Linked DNA regions of Pelodiscus sinensis. The protein of the gene in region 1 interacts with the protein of each later gene in a pairwise test. Links are inferred from orthologs where the notes say so. Each region holds a gene or a part of one and is shown in the gene's direction. Other genes may lie near its edges.

Region 1 (7,643 bases):
TGTGGGGGGGGAGCTGGGTGCCCCAAGCCCCAAGGGTGTGTGTGGGGGAGCTGGGCGACCCATGACCCGAGCCCCAAGGGTGTGGGGGGGGAGCTGGGCGCCCCATGACCCAAGCCCCAAGGGTGTGGGGGTGGAAGCTGGGTGCCCCATGACCCGAGTCCCAAGGGTGTGGGGGGGGGAGCTGGGCGCCCCATGACCCAAGCCCCAAGGGTGTGGGGGTGGGAGCTGGGAGCCCCATGACCCAAGCCCCAAGGGTGGGGGGGGGAGCTGGGCGCCCCAAGACCCGAGCCCCAAGGATGGAGGCTAGTGGGAGCGTGGCACCCCACGGGCCGAGGTCGGGGGGGGGGGAGGGGGGAACCGGACGGCCCGAGGACGGGGGGGAGGGGGGAGAACCGGGCGCCCCACGGCCCGAGGACGGGGGAAGGGGGGAACCGGGCGCCCCACGGCCCGAGGACGGGGGGGAGGGGGGGAACCGGGCTCCCCACGGCCCGAGAACGGGGGGGAGGGGGGAACCGGGCGCCCCACGGCCCGAGGACGGGGGGGGAGGGGGGGAACCGGGCGCCCCACGGCCCGAGAACGGGGGGGAGGGGGGGAACCGGGCGCCCCACGGCCCGAGAACGGGGGGGAGGGGGGAACCGGGCGCCCCACGGCCCGAGGACGGGGGGGAGGGGGAGAACCGGGCGCCCCACGGCCCGAGGACGGGGGGGAGGGGGGAACCGGGCGCCCCACGGCCCGAGGACGGGGGGAGGGGGGGAACCGGGCGCCCCACGGCCCGAGAACGGGGGGGAGGGGGGGAACCGGGCGCCCCACGGCCCGAGGACGGGGGGGAGGGGGGGAACCGGGCGCCCCACGGCCCGAGGACGGGGGGAGGGGGGGAACCGGGCGCCCCACGGCCCGAGAACGGGGGGGAGGGGGGGAACCGGGCGCCCCACGGCCCGAGGACGGGGGGGAGGGGGGGAACCGGGCGCCCCACGGCCCGAGGACGGGGGGGGAGGGGGGGAACCGGGCGCCCCACGGCCCGAGAACGGGGGGGAGGGGGGGCCCGGGCGCCCCACGGCCCGAGGACGGGGGGGAGGGGGGGCCCGGGCGCCCCACGGCCCGAGGACGGGGGGGAGGGGGGGCCCGGGCGCCCCACGGCCCGAGGACGGGGCACTGGTACGGGCTGCCCGATCCAGTGAGGAGCGAGCCCTCGCCAGGTACTTCACTGTCGCCATGGTAACAGAAGGGGCGGGGCAACAGGGTCCTCGCCCCCTGCCACGTGTCGGTTCGAACACTCCAATCCCAAGTTTGCCGTGAAGGGGCAGCGCTGGAGCGCACAGCGCGTTGGGCCCCGCCCCGCCCCGCCCCGCCCGCTCTGATTGGCGGGTGGGATGGCAGGGCTGCTATCATTGGGCGGAGAAAGCGCGCGTGCTGGAGAGATCCCGCCCCCGAAGGCTCCAAGCTGTCGGGCCTAGCTGCGCGGCTGGGTGACCCCCGGAAGGAGCTGGAGTCCTGCCAAGATGCCTCGACAGAGGCCACGCCCCAAAGGGCGTGGCCTAATAAGGGCGTGGCCTGAGGCCAGGGCAGGGGCGGGGCGTTTGGAAAGGGGCGTGGTGAGGACCGGGTGGGATTTACCTGGGGGTGGGCGGGGCCATGAGGAGAGTGGGCGGGAGGTGAGAGGAGGGGATCCCAGGGGGAGGGGTGGGCAGTTCTGAAGAGGAGGTCAGTGGAAGAGGGCTGTGAAGGTGAGAGGAGGGGGTCAGTGGGGGGCGTGGGGGGGCGGGTGAGAGGAGGGGGTCAGTGGGGGGCGTGGGGGGGCGGGTGAGAGGAGGGGGTCAGTGGGGGGTGTGGGGGCAGGTGAGAGGAGGGGGTCAGTGGGGGGAGTGGGGGCAGGTGAGAGGAGGGGGTCAGTGGGGGGCGTGGGGGGGCGGGTGAGAGGAGGGGGTCAGTGGGGGGCGTGGGGGGGCGGGTGAGAGGAGGGGGTCAGTGGGGGGTGTGGGGGCAGGTGAGAGGAGGGGGTCAGTGCGGGGTGTGGGGGGCGGGTGAGAGGAGGGGGTCAGTGCGGGGTGTGGGGGGCGGGTGAGAGGAGGGGGTCAGTGGGGGGTGTGGGGGGGCGGGTGAGAGGAGGGGGTCAGTGGGGGGTGTGGGGGCAGGTGAGAGGAGGGGGTCAGTGCGGGGTGTGGGGGGCGGGTGAGAGGAGGGGGTCAGTGGGGGGAGTGGGGGCAGGTGAGAGGAGGGGGTCAGTGGAGGGAGTGGGGGCAGGTGAGAGGAGGGGGTCAGTGGAGGTGTGGGGGGCAGGTGAGAGGAGGGGGTCAGTGGAGGTGTGGGGGGCAGGTGAGAGGAGGGGGTCAGTAGGGGTTGTGGGGGTAGGTGAGAAGTGATGGTTGGTGGGGGAAGGGTAGGCAGGTCTGAGGGAGGTGTGGAGGCAGGCGAGTGGAGGGGGTCAGTGCGGGGTGTGGGGGGCGGGTGAGAGGAGGGGGTCAGTGCGGGGTGTGGGGGGCAGGTGAGAGGAGGGGGTCAGTGGAGGGAGTGGGGGCAGGTGAGAGGAGGGGGTCAGTGGGGGGTGTGGGGGGCGGGTGAGAGGAGGGGGTCAGTGGAGGGAGTGGGGGCAGGTGAGAGGAGGGGGTCAGTGCGGGGTGTGGGGGGTGGGTGAGAGGAGGGGGTCAGTGGGGGGAGTGGGGGCAGGTGAGAGGAGGGGGTCAGTGGGGGGTGTGGGGGGCAGGTGAGAGGAGGGGGTCAGTGGAGGTTGTGGGGGGCGGGTGAGAGGAGGGGGTCAGTGGAGGGAGTGGGGGCAGGTGACAGGAGGGGGTCAGAGGAGTGGGGGGGGCAGGTGACAGGAGGGGGTCAGTGGAGGTGTGGGGGGCAGGTGAGAGGAGGGGATCAGTGGAGGTGTGGGGGGCAGGTGAGAGGAGGGGGTCAGTGGGGTGTGTGGGGGGCGGGTGAGAGGAGGGGTTCAGTGGGGGTTATGGGGTCAGGTGAGAGGAGGGAGTCAGAGGGGGGAGTGGTGGGCAGGTGACAGGAGGGGATCAGTGGGGGGGTGGGAGTAGGTGAGAGGTGATGGTTGGTGGGGGGAAGGGTAGGCAGATCTGAGGAGGGGTCAGTGAAGGAATGGTGGGCAGGTGACAGGATGGAGTCAGCGGGGGGATGGGGTGTGGAGGCAGGTGCCAGGAGGGGATCAGTGGGGGGAGTGGAGGGCAGGTGAGAGGAGGGGGTCAGTGGGGGATGTAGGGGCAGGGGACAGGAGAGATTAGAGGGGGGTATGGTGGGGTGACAGGAGGAGGTCAGTGGGGGGAGTGGAGGGCAGTAAGAGGATGGGGTCAGTAGGGGGTGTGGAGGCAGGTGAGAGGAGGGGGTCAGTGTGGGATATGGGGGCAGGTGACAGGACGGGGTCAGTGTGGGATATGGGGGCAGGTGACAGGAGGGGGTCAGTAGGGGTTGTGGGGGTAGGTGAGAAGTGATGGTTGGTGGGGGAAGGGTAGGCAGGTCTGAGGGAGGTGTGGAGGCAGGCGAGTGGAGGGGGTGAGTGCGGGATGTGGGGCAGATGACAGGAGGGAGTCAGTGGAGGTGTGAGGGCAGGTGAGAGGAGGGGTTCAGTGGGGGTTATGGGGGCAGGTGAGAGGAGGGAGTCAGAGGGGGGAGTGCTGGGCAGGTGACAGGAGGGAATTAGTAGGGGGTGGGAGTAGGTGGGAGGTGATGGTTGGTGGGGGGAAGGGTAGGCAGGTCTGAGGGAGGTGTGGGGGCAGGCGAGTGGAGGAGGTCAGTGGGGGGTGTGGGGCAGATGACAGGAGGGAGTCAGTGGAGGTGTGGGGGCAGTTGAGAAGAGGGGTTCAGTTGGGGTGTTAGGCAGGTGACAGGAGGGGATCAGAGGGGGGAGTGGTGGGCAGGTGAGAGGAGGGGGTCAATGGGGGTGTGGGGCAGGTGAGAGGAGGGGGTCAGGGGGGGCGTGAGGCAGGTGAGAGGAGGAGGTCAGGGGGGGTGTGGGGCAGGGGAGAGGGGATCAGTGGGGGGGCAGGTGAGAGGAGGGGGTCGGGGGGGTGTGGGGCAGGGGAGAGGGGATCAGTGGGGGGGCAGGTGAGAGGAGGGGGTCAGTGGGGGTGTGGGGCAGGAGAGAGGGGGTCAGTGGGGGGCAGGGGAGAGGAGGGGGTCAGGGGGGCGTGGGGCAGGTGAGAGGAGGGGGTCAGTGGGAGTGTGGGGCAGGGGAGAGGGGGGTCAGTGGGGGGCAGGGGAGAGGAGAGGGTCAGGGGGCGTGGGGCAAGTGAGAGGAGGGGGTCAGGGGGGTGTGGGGCAGGGGAGAGGGAGTCAGTGGGGGGCAGGGGAGAGGAGGGGGTCAGTGGGGGCGTGGGGTAGGTGAGAGGAGGGGGTCAGGGGGGTGTGGGGCAGGGGAGAGGGGGTCAGTGGGGGGGTAGGTGAGAGGAGGGGGTCAGGGGGGTGTGGGGCAGGGGAGAGGAGGGGCTTGGTGGGGGGAAGGGTAGGCAGGTCTGGGCAGGGGTCAGTGGGGGAGGGGTGTGCAGGTGACAGGCGGGGCAGAGGGGCGGGGCGGGGGCGGGGCTCCGGCTGGGCGCCCGGGTCTCTCCCAGGAGCAGCAGGGGGAGCGCCTCAGCCGAGCTCCCCGCGCGCGCTTGCTCGCGCTCTCCGAAGGGGAGGGGGAAGGGGAGGGCAGGGGGCGTGGCTCCGCCTGGCTCCCACGTCCCCTCGCTCGCGCTCTCTCTCTGCCTCTCTCCTCCTTCACAGGGTGACACGTCTGCAGGGTGAGTGAGTGGCATTGGCAGACTGTCAATCCCTCACCAAAGCGGCCATCAAACAACATAAAACACACACAGTCACTGGGCTGCTGGGCTCATAAATTCCAGCTGGCTGATATTTTTGCACATTGCTTTGCAGAGAGTGTGTAATTAATTTTTTTACAGTTCTTTCCCCTTTATTTCCGCTCTTTTCTTTGCACAAGTTCAAACTTTTGATAGCTGCAATTTTACCCCCATTGTACAGACTTGGGATCATTTGTTATTATTTTTTGGGGGAGGGCAATTAATTTTTTTCATCTGTGTTTGTGTTTTCTTGGGCTTTTTTTAATGTTGCAATTTGGGGATGGGGGTGTTTGCTTGGTTTGTTGTGGTTTTTGCTGTTTGCCACCCTCCTAACTTTTTAAGGATTTGAAAGCAAGTTTTTGTGTGTGTGTTTTTTTTAATTTTGCCTTTTTTTGCGAAGAAGATTATTTTTTGGACAAGTGGAGGAAAGACATAAAAAGCAACAATAAAAATAAAAAAGAAGAGAGGGGGGAAAAAGCTTTGGAGGAAGATTGTACCGAGGGGAGAAAACTGCAAAAAACCTTATCAACTCATTATCCGAGCCAGAAATATCATTGTTATGATGAAAGAAGATTGTAACTAAAGAAGAGAGTGATTTACTGCATTGGAAAGAAGAGCGTGGAATAAACAACTGAGATCCGGTGAAATACTAAATACTGATTTTTTTTGTTAATTTGCGAGAGTAAAATAACAGCAAGCAGGAACTGAAATTGACTACGGGAACCACAGATTTATTCGCATTTTATTTTCTAAGCACAAACCTCCTTCCTCTGATTGTGAGGCTCTTTTTGCCGTTTCTCCTGCTGCTATCTCTGAAAGTGCATTGATTGGGCTGCGGTAGGAGGTATGGATGATCAGTCCAGGATGTTGCAGACTCTGGCCGGTGTGAACCTGGCTGGCCACTCGGTGCAGGGGGGGATGGCTCTGCCTCCTCCCCATGGACATGAAGGGGCAGACGGCGACGGCAGAAAGCAGGACATCGGAGACATCCTCCATCAGATCATGACCATCACTGACCAAAGCCTGGATGAGGCACAAGCAAAGTTGGTTTCGTCTAATTAAACCTTGTCTTTTTGTGTGTGTGGTTTTTGTTTCTCTCCCTCCTGCTTCTCTGCAGAGACCAGGAGTCTCACAATTAGAACAACTTCTTAATACAGTAGGAGAAATTTCAAGCAGCAAAGGCAAAAATCAAAGTTGCTGTTAATTATTTGTAAAATATAAATATGTGATGCTTGTACCATTTTTTTCTGTTCCATTTTATTTGCACCTATGCGTGGAATGCATGTAGTCCCATTTTCATTTCCATCTCTATAGACACTATCTGGTTGACACTCATTTAAAAATCGCCATCCCGCAATATTTGCTCTTCGGGAGACTTTTGATTTCTTGTTCAGAAGTGTAACTTTTTTTCTTTCCTTCTCTCCTGCCCCTGAAGTGGTGGCAGATGAATTACAAAGCTGACAAGATATTGCTTCAGGGAGAAATCCCTCCGTGTTTGAAATCACAGTAAATACAAAACAAAGAATGTGAACTCTGGAAGTTACCCTTTTAGCAAATCCGCTCTAATGTAGAGGAATGGAAAGCAGTCGAGATCGCTGTATACATCAAAGCCTGGTCTATCAGGGAAATTACATACAGCGAATTTGACTTAAACAGGTGGAAAAAAAACCCCTTGTAACATGGCTTTAAAACCAAACTTCTGCGAGCGTCTCAAGTCTGCAAAGTGGTAGGCAGGCGGGGGCTCCCTGGATTCTGACTTGTCACCACAAGTCCCTGCTTTGGTGACAAATGAGAGAAGGCATTTGAAACACCCTTTTATTTGCTCCTCTTGTCCCTGAATTTAAATCTCCTCACATTGCTTCTTAATGTTTGCTACTTTGCACACAGTATGATTAGGTTGTCTGGTCGCCTATAGGGCAAATATGTGCTTCCCCTCCTCCCCCTCACAGCCAAAAAGCTGTAGCCAAAGATTCCTTGTCACTTGTCATTAACTTTACTTCCTATTACTTTGCATGGAATAGCTGAACAGTACAATGCAGGGGCACAACTAAATCATTTTATTGTGGAAAGGCGCCATATTATCAAATAGCTTCTGCTAATGCATTTGTTGTTTTCCCACCCTCTTTTCCAGAAAGCATGCACTGAACTGCCACAGAATGAAGCCTGCTCTATTCAGTGTCCTGTGCGAAATCAAAGAGAAAACAGGTAAGAGGCCAGGAGGAGCAGGGTTTTCAATTGCACCCCACACAGGTCAGCATTGCAATACTTCTCAATTCTGCAAGCCTGGGAGCTGATGTGGGCACCGCAGCCATCTTTGATCCTTGCTTCCTTGCCTGCTTCTGATCTTGGGGAGGGGAGGGGGGAGAATGCAATAAATCTGGAGCAAATTTTACAATTCATAATCCCGATGTAAAATGAAATGTAGATGAAAATGATCGTGTGTCACCGTCCGCAGAGTAAATTCCCCCTCTGGCTGCAATCAGGGAAGCAACACGGAGCAAACCAGGCTGTCTCCCCCTCTCTCTGCCTTGTTTGTATGTCAGTTTCTTAAAGGAGCAATGTGAGATTGGAGAAGCCAATTGCAGCGTAGGAACCGCACAGCCGGCAACTTTGTTTGACTCGGGTCACCTCATTGTTTATCTGTGCAATTAGCAGAATATATGTTATTGGACGCATTCAGTTGACAGATCCAAACTAGTACACTATATGTGGGAAATTAACTGTAGGCTTAAGAAATGCTCAAAGAGGGGTGTGTATAATATGTGTATAAATATGTCCACACATGTTCAGATACATACGGATATACCTTGTATAGAATACGTTTATCTTATGTACATTTACGTTCAGAGGGTCATTTAT
Region 2 (7,870 bases), on another chromosome or scaffold:
AAAAGGTTAAAATTAGTATGAGAAGCTTAGTATTTAATTACTTGTAACTGGAAGACTCTAGTATTGCCAGTAATGTTAAGCTTTCTGCAAATTGTAATTGCAAGCATTAAACACTATGGCAGCTGTGACAATATCCTGCAATATCTTGGGCAAACTTTATTGAATTAAGTTTAGGTATGTTAACAGTTCATTGGATTAAAAATGCAAAAATGTATTCACTATTAAGAGATTGTATATATTTCTGTAGGGACGCATGGGGACCACAGTATTCCAGGAACTAAGCACAGTGGGGGTGAGAGAGAAAGAGGGCAGGCATTATTAATTCAGCTTGTAAAAACTCTAGAGAGCTGCTCCTGCCTGGAAAGAGACTTGCATATACTGATTCAAACTGAATTCTCTGGAACTTTCCAACACACAGAGAAAAAGGATTTTTGGTTACATAGCCTGAGCTAAAGTGACTTGGGTTATTCACTCTGATCCAGCAAACAGATAGAACTTCTGTTTCAAGTGGAGCCTGTTACAGCGTGGCCTCACTGCTGTGGCACTGGGGATTAGCTTTTGTCTGCCTCCCCGTGTCATCGCTTCACTCTCCAGGCCCAACCCGCAACAGTCTTGGACTGCAGTGTCTTCTTCAGGACAATGCCCTCCAGACATACCCAGTCCATTGGCTCTCAACTCCCTTCTGGGGAGCAGCGGGGTGGTTATCAATCTCTGCACTCCAGGGACCTGCTGCCTTTGCCTACCTTAGCTGGCTCTCTGCAGCCTTCCTGCACTCCGGTCTAGCCTCAGGCCCTGCAGCCTAGGAGCTTGCCACACCAGAGCTTCCCCTGCTCTGCCTTCTTTCCCCAGCACTGGTATATCTCCAGGAAGCCTCCTGCTTCCCAGGCAGCCAGGTCACTCTAGCCAGAGTTAACATAAGTAAGTCCTCCTTTCTCCTTCCAGGATCCCTTCTTTATAGCTCTAATTAGCAATAACTACCTCAGCTAGGGCTTCACTCTCAGCCCTGGCTTAGGGCTGGGTTTTGCCCTTTAAGGGCCAGTGCAGGGCAGATGCCCTATCACAGGGCCCTAATTTTTAGGAAAGGGTTGGAAAGTCTTTGGCCCACTGAGGCCCTATTAGATATACAAGCTAGATCTGAGAGAAAGCTGTTACCAACTGGTAGGGTTTGAAGGACTAATCACCAGTCACAGGCCAGCCTGCTGGGGTTGGAGCAATTTCTGGTAAGTTTACTAGCATAAGTGTAGGTTCTTTTATTGTTCTTAATAGACTGTCTGTAGTGCTTTTAGTCTAAAAATAAATAAATGTGCTCACTTAGAACTGTGTGGTAACTTCTAATTGTGAGTAACTATACTGTTGCTGTCTCTGAGCAGAGATGCATGCCTACTTAGGCAGTCTATCTTTTGGGGTATTAACACAGTGGAGGTAGGCAATTGTTCAGCCTGGAAATGTCAGAGTCAGATGGGAGAGAGAATGCAGTTTTCACCCAAGAGAATTGACAGCTGTGGAGCCTGGTGCCAAGGACGGGGAGTACAGGTGCTGTTGCCCTGGACTGACAGCTATTTTATTCAAAAAAGGTTTGTATTCACTTTGCATGTTTTGTAAGTCAAAAGAGGAGTCTTGCATATCAGATCTCACCATTGGTTTATACTGTGTGCTCACATAGTTATGAAACTATACAGGGTGCAAAAGCAGTCCACCGAGCCCCCTCATTGTGGGTCTCCTCTGTATAATTCTCCCTGTCCTGGATCCTTTGTAGTGCTGGGAAGGAGGAGCATGAAGGCTTGGCAGCTAGGGGTGACACTCGAAAAAAGTGTATCTTTCCTCTAATTAATTTTCTACATTTTTCTATTATTTTTCCTTGTTTTCTCCTCTGTTCCTTCTAACTGTTGTCACTCCTTGCAATTTTAATGCAAAGCTCTTGGTATTTTGGTGGTTTTTTAAAAGCTTTATCTTGTGGAGTCAGCTTTCATTTAAAAAGAGCAAGTTTCTAGGCCACCAGTGATTACAGAGTAAAGCTTGACATGAATCCTAAAGGCTCAAAGGTAAGAAGGCAAACAAAAGAAATAAAAATGTATTACTACTACTTAATAAAAACTTATCATTTTAGACAATATTATTAGTGTGGTTACCTGACTCATGATATTTGAACAGTTGGGGCTACCAATACTAATTCTTCCTTACTGTTTCTGCCAGGTTTGTTAATTCTTTCACATTCAGAGCCTCTAACTTCACATGGATCTGAATCTATAGAGCAGTGGTCTCCAAAATGGGATGCACGCACCCCAGGGGGTGTGCGAGACAATCCGAGGGAGCGCATGCCACCGCGCAACAGCTGAGAGGGGAGACGCCTGGTTTGCAAGACATCTGAGGGAGCGCATGCATGGTGTGTTCAAACGCCCGTGCAACAGCTGAGGGGACACGCCTGGGCGTGTCGTGATATCACAGCCCGGGACTTTAAAACTGCACGGCCCAGCTCCAGGCCCGGCACGTGGTCTGGGGCCACGGAAGCAGCTGGGGCTTGGCCCGATCAGACTCAAACTGAAAAGCAGAAGGTGGGGGTGTGGGGAAAAATAGGGAAAAGGGGTGGGAGACGAAGGGGCTTGTGCTGAGGGGAGGGGGGCAGGTCAGGAGAAGAAAGGGGAATGCACCAAGGGACAGCGTGGAGGAGAGACAATTTCCAGGGGGCCAAGTGGAGACAATGAAAAAGAGGGCAGGAGGGGAGGTGTCAGTGGGAGGGGGGAGGGTAAGGGCATTGGGAGCTAGAGGGGGGAGAGGGAGGTGCTGGGAGAAGGCTTGAAAGAAGGGGTGGGCATGAGGAAGGTGGGGATGGAGCAAGGCATGTGTGAGGGCACAGGGGCATGAGGCGAACGGGCAGAGGGTGGTGAGGGGATGGGCATCACGGAAAAAGAAGGCAAAGGGGGCAGGGGCAGTGAGGGAAGAGGGATGCACCAGGAGGGTGCAGGTGCCAGGGGATTCTAGGGGTGAAGCAGAAGGGCAGACACTTGCAGGGGAGGGACAAGGCCAGCACCAGAGAGAGGCAGGGCAGGTGTGTAGAGGGAGGTAGCTCACTTGATCAGAGTGGGGCACAGGGCAGAGAGAAGGGCTGGTGGAGGGGGGGCAGGTCACAGGAGGGCTGAGGGTAGCGAGAAGGGCAGGAGTCAGGACAGTAGAGTAGGGTGAGGGGGCATTAGGGGAGCTGATGGAGCAAGGGGAGGAGACATGACAGCAGAGGGAAAAGGTAGAGGTTTATATGATATGTATTAATAACTTGGATGCCACAGTGGCACATCCAAACAAGCCACATGAACTCAGTACTGGTGCACAACACAAAATTCATTCTGTTCATGGAAGGAAACTCTGAGGGGACACTTCCCCCAGCCTCTCTGCCCCCTCCACCTCCGAGGATACTTGCATGAGGGGAGTTTGGTGGGAGCCAAAGTAATCCCTATTGGTAGGAGGATGGTGGGAAAAGTCCTTAGAGAGGGGTCACATGACACCTTTTACTTCTGGTCATGTGTCCCTCAGACCTCCTGAGGCCTTCTAATGGGAGCCAGAGGCATGGTTAACAGGGGTCAGGTGTGTGGCTAATGGGGGGTCAAAGAGTACATTTTTAAAAAAATTATAAATAAATATACATATATTGGGGATGTATGCTCAAAATTTTTTTTACTGATAGGATTGCGCGATCAAAAAAGTTTGGAGACCACTGCTATAGAGAAGCGTCAAGACAGGGAGTTCACTTGGGGCATTATCTATGCCACATTAGGACAGCAAAGGTGCTGCAGCTGTGGAGATGTAATTTAAATACTTCCTACATGGACAAAAAACAGTTGTGGGTGGGGTGGTCGGGGCAGGGCCTGGGCAGAGCCATGGGGAGCACCTCTGTGGGGATGGCCTTAGAATCATAGAGCTAAAACCTCAGGAGGTTAGAAAGTCCATCCCCTGCCCAAGCCATGACCAATCCCAACTAAATCAACCAACTCAGGGCTTTGCCAAGTCGAGACTTACAAACGTCTAGGGGTAGAGATTCCACCACCTCCCTAGGGAACCCATTCCAGTACTTCACCACCCTCCTAGTGAAATAGTTTTTTCTAATATTCAACCTAGACCAACTTGGGGCCATTGGTAGCAGGTTAGGACAAAACAAAACTTTGACAGGTGGGGAGAAGTGGATTGCACTGAAGGACTATGGGTCAGGCCTGTGTATTGCATAGACACTCATTTACCTGATGCCAATGTCACTAGCTCAGCTGGCAGGGACTTTCCCCCGGCCTGCCTGCAGGGGGGTTGTGTAACACCCACTGCTTAGACATGCCCTGCTTGTGCCTCTTTGCCTCTGCCTTTATTTGCATCCCTGGCTAGTCGGGGTGGGGCGAGCACCACGGGGCTTCGCATGGTGGGCTCAAGGCAGCGACTGGGACGCAGGGGGTGACAAAGCCACACACACGGTGGCCTGGGAACACCGTAGCTGCCAGGGGCTGGAGGGAGGGGCCCCCTGGCAGCCGGGCAGCAGAGCAGGTGGCGCATGTGCCAGGTCTCCCTCCGCAGCTCAGGGCAGAACTATAAGGGACAGCCAGGCTCTGTCCCCTCCCCCTCGCCCCTAGTTGGTATCTTCGTTCCCCCGCTGCCCTTGGGAGTTGGTTTCACCTCCCTCTTCCTCTCACCCCGACCAAACAGAAAGGCGGGCAAAGGGGCGTGACAAACAACGCGTCCGCCCCGCCCCTTATGAATATTCATCAAGATGCGACGCACCGCACCGCCCCCTTAGGGCGAGCGTCAGGGCGGGAGTGTCCTGCGCCGGCGCGCGCCCCGCCTCTTTTGTGAATATTCATGAGGCGTGCTGCGCAGCGTGCTGTCGTATTGTGTGGCGCGGGCGGTGATTGGCCGGGTGCGTGTGTGCGTAGTGACGCGTGTCGCGGCGGTGCGGGTCCCGATTGCTGCAGCCGCTTGTCAGTGTGACGAAGATTGGCACCCAGGTAAGCGCTGTCACTCAAACCCGCTCCCAGCCAGCCATCCATCACGGCGCGCCCGCCGCCGCCGGCCGGCCGGGCCCAGACACACAGGCAGACCGGGGATGGCGGGGGGAGCGAGAGCCCGCCACACGGAGCAGCGGGGAGGGAGGCACCCGCGCTATACCCAACCCGGGGGGGTGGATAGGGGCGGCGGCGGGCAGGCGCGGGGAAGGGAGGGGGGAGCGAGGAAATTTCTGGAACAGCCGCCGACTAACCGTTGCCTTTGTGGGAGCGGGCGGGAGGCGGCGCGCGCCGAGAGGGAGGCGGCGCGACGGGAGGGGGACGGGTAGCAGCTGTTCGGGCGGGGGGGGGGAGTATTTAAAGGGCCTTGGCGAAGATTCCGATAGAGTCGGGCCAAGGCTGGCGGGGGCGCTGCTCTGTGTCCCCCTCCCCCCGGGCTGGGAGGCGGGTGCGGTCGCTGTGGCCCAGCCTGGCCCGCAGCCGTGTCTGGCTGAGCTAAGACAGCAGCTGCCTGCCTCTGCTCGCCGCGTGCCCCGGCCCGGGAGGGGAGCTCCCCCGGCGCCTCGGGAGCCGCCTCCCTGCCGAGCCAACCGCCCCGCAGCGACCGACACCCCGTAGCGGGCTGCATCGGGCGCCGCCTGCCGCGCGCTCTAATGCCGCAACGTTTGCCGCTTGCTCGGCCCCTGGCCGAAGTTGCGTTACGGAGGGTCAGGCCAAAGAGCCCCCTCCCCCTCCCCGCGCGCAGGATCGTGGGGTTTGTCTTGCTCTGTAGCGCAAGCCGCCATCAGCAACGAGCTTGCCTCTCGCTGGGCGGGATAGAAAAGCGGACATGGTGCCTGCCCCAAGGAGCTTACACTCTCAACACTTGAGCGATATACAGATGGACAGAAATGAGTCATTAGGCGCCCATGTAAATCAACAAAGACGCCAACTGCATAGTTCACAAATCCCATCTTGAATTCCTCTTTTGCCTTGACACCCACAAGAACTCTGCCAGTTAATGATGGTTATCTTAAATAGTGGCTGGGAATGCTGTATTTGAAATGGCTCTGAAATTACAAGTTGTGCTTATAGCTAAGTTAGGTAGTGGTTGGTTTTATTAGGCCTACACTTTCTCTCCTTCCCATTCTGCCTTATGTTATTTTTGTGGCAGCTTCTTTCTGTTTATATTATAAGTAATTTGAGACATGGAGCATGGCTTCCTACATATTTGCACAGCCTCTGACAATTCAGCCCCAAAACATGAAGGGGGTGTTTGGCCACTATTTTACTACATATACACGGTAATAATAAAGGTACCCTGTTTGAAATAGTCTCTCAATTAGCATTTTTACAGGGTATCTTTGTTTTTGGAAGTCCAGTTTCACTTTTGTAAAAGGATGATCTAATTTAAAATATCCCATTTATTTAAAAAAAAAAAAACCCCTCTTGTACACTGATCTCTAGTTATAGCTCACTCAGTCTACAGTTTGTTATGCTTTCATTTTCAAGGTTGGGTCTGTACAAAACCAAACTGGTATTCTGGTATTATTAAGGTTTGTTTTGTGTTTTAATGTGAAGGAGTTCTAACAATAGACCCGCAGTTCTACCTATATATATATATATATATATATATATATATATATATATATATATATATATATATAAAAATAAAAAGTTTGGAAATAATACCTATATGAGAATAGTTCTATTGAATAGTACACTGGCATAGCTTAACTGGGTCCACATGCAGTGTTGTGTACGTGGATAGTCAAAGTGATACAACTTGTGTACAGACGAGGTTTAAAATGTATTTAAAAAATGTTAATTGTGCATGTAGCATACTTTAATCTCAGGTTATATTGCAGGACAGAAAACTAATGACTGTTGGAGCATCAGAAATTTCTTGATCCAAACCCACAATCTCCAGGGTAGCAGATAATAAAATTATATTTTTGACATTTTCCTAATACTGCTGCCAAAAATTGCAGAAAACTTGAAAGTGTATAAATTAGTGAGTACAAAAAGTTATAATGAATGGTCTTAAATTATTGAAAATATCTGAGAAATGAGACAGATAATCACATTTTTTAGTGAAATAGAATAGTGTGTCTTCTGAGTTTATTTTCTTTTTACTATAGCTAACATTGGTGCTTCTTTATCTTTAGTCTATTACTATGAATATCTTCAATTTTAGATATTAACCTGCCTTGATTTATAATAAAGGGCACAAATGTCAGCATCAAAATATAAATATCATTCCAAGTTCTTAATTTAAGACTTAATTTTTTAAATCTCTTAAGACCATACTTTAAACATGCAAATAGTTTCATTGACTTTACTGGCAGTGTGGCATAGATGCTCTAATACTGGAGTAGAAGTCAGGAAACCTGCAGTTCTCTTCCTGGGGATCACTGTGTGACTTTCGGGAAGTTAATTCACCTATTTCTCTATTTGTAACATGGGATTAATTATACCTGTCTCCTTTCATCTGAGAAACAGATATTTACTTATTTATAACTCACTTGCTTTAAGTGCTCTGCTGGACTAGAAAAGTATCTAGTTACCATTTGCTGTATGCTTTATGGAAGATTAAGAGCTCTGTGTAGTGTTACAATGGAAATCATGACCCACACTTTGGAAAGTCCAACTTTGCATTAAATTGTTGGCTTACATGCATTTTCTTTGTAGTAAAAAGCTTAAATTTTTGATTTTTACTTTCCGTGTCAAATATAGTTGTAGATGTTTAGGTACTCCTTTAAGGTGATCTGTGTTAAAAATACCATATTTAAAAATAAAGTTCTGACCTTGCATACTCCCATTTAAATCAATAAAAAGTGTGGGGTACATTAGAAACACATGTTAAATCAGATTCTAACAAACAGGGTGTCTTTTGCTAGTTTTAGTTGCTGTGTGTT

The links. The genes of interacting proteins can lie anywhere in the genome.
Region 2: the proteins of PBX3 (region 1) and PKNOX1 interact in a two-hybrid assay, tested with the Homo sapiens proteins (2 studies listed by BioGRID and IntAct). The link is inferred for Pelodiscus sinensis from reciprocal best matches to the Homo sapiens genes PBX3 and PKNOX1.

The regions. Positions count from the first base shown.
Region 1 is NC_134732.1:25,327,558-25,335,200, forward strand, and holds the start of PBX3 (pre-B-cell leukemia transcription factor 3), read left to right. Parts: upstream 1-4,641; 5' UTR 4,642-5,630; coding exon 5,631-5,827; intron 5,828-6,915; coding exon 6,916-6,989; intron 6,990-7,643. UniProt on the Homo sapiens protein: Transcriptional activator that binds the sequence 5'-ATCAATCAA-3'.
Region 2 is NC_134711.1:190,864,876-190,872,745, forward strand, and holds the start of PKNOX1 (homeobox protein PKNOX1), read left to right. Parts: upstream 1-4,842; 5' UTR 4,843-4,976; intron 4,977-7,870. UniProt on the Homo sapiens protein: Activates transcription in the presence of PBX1A and HOXA1.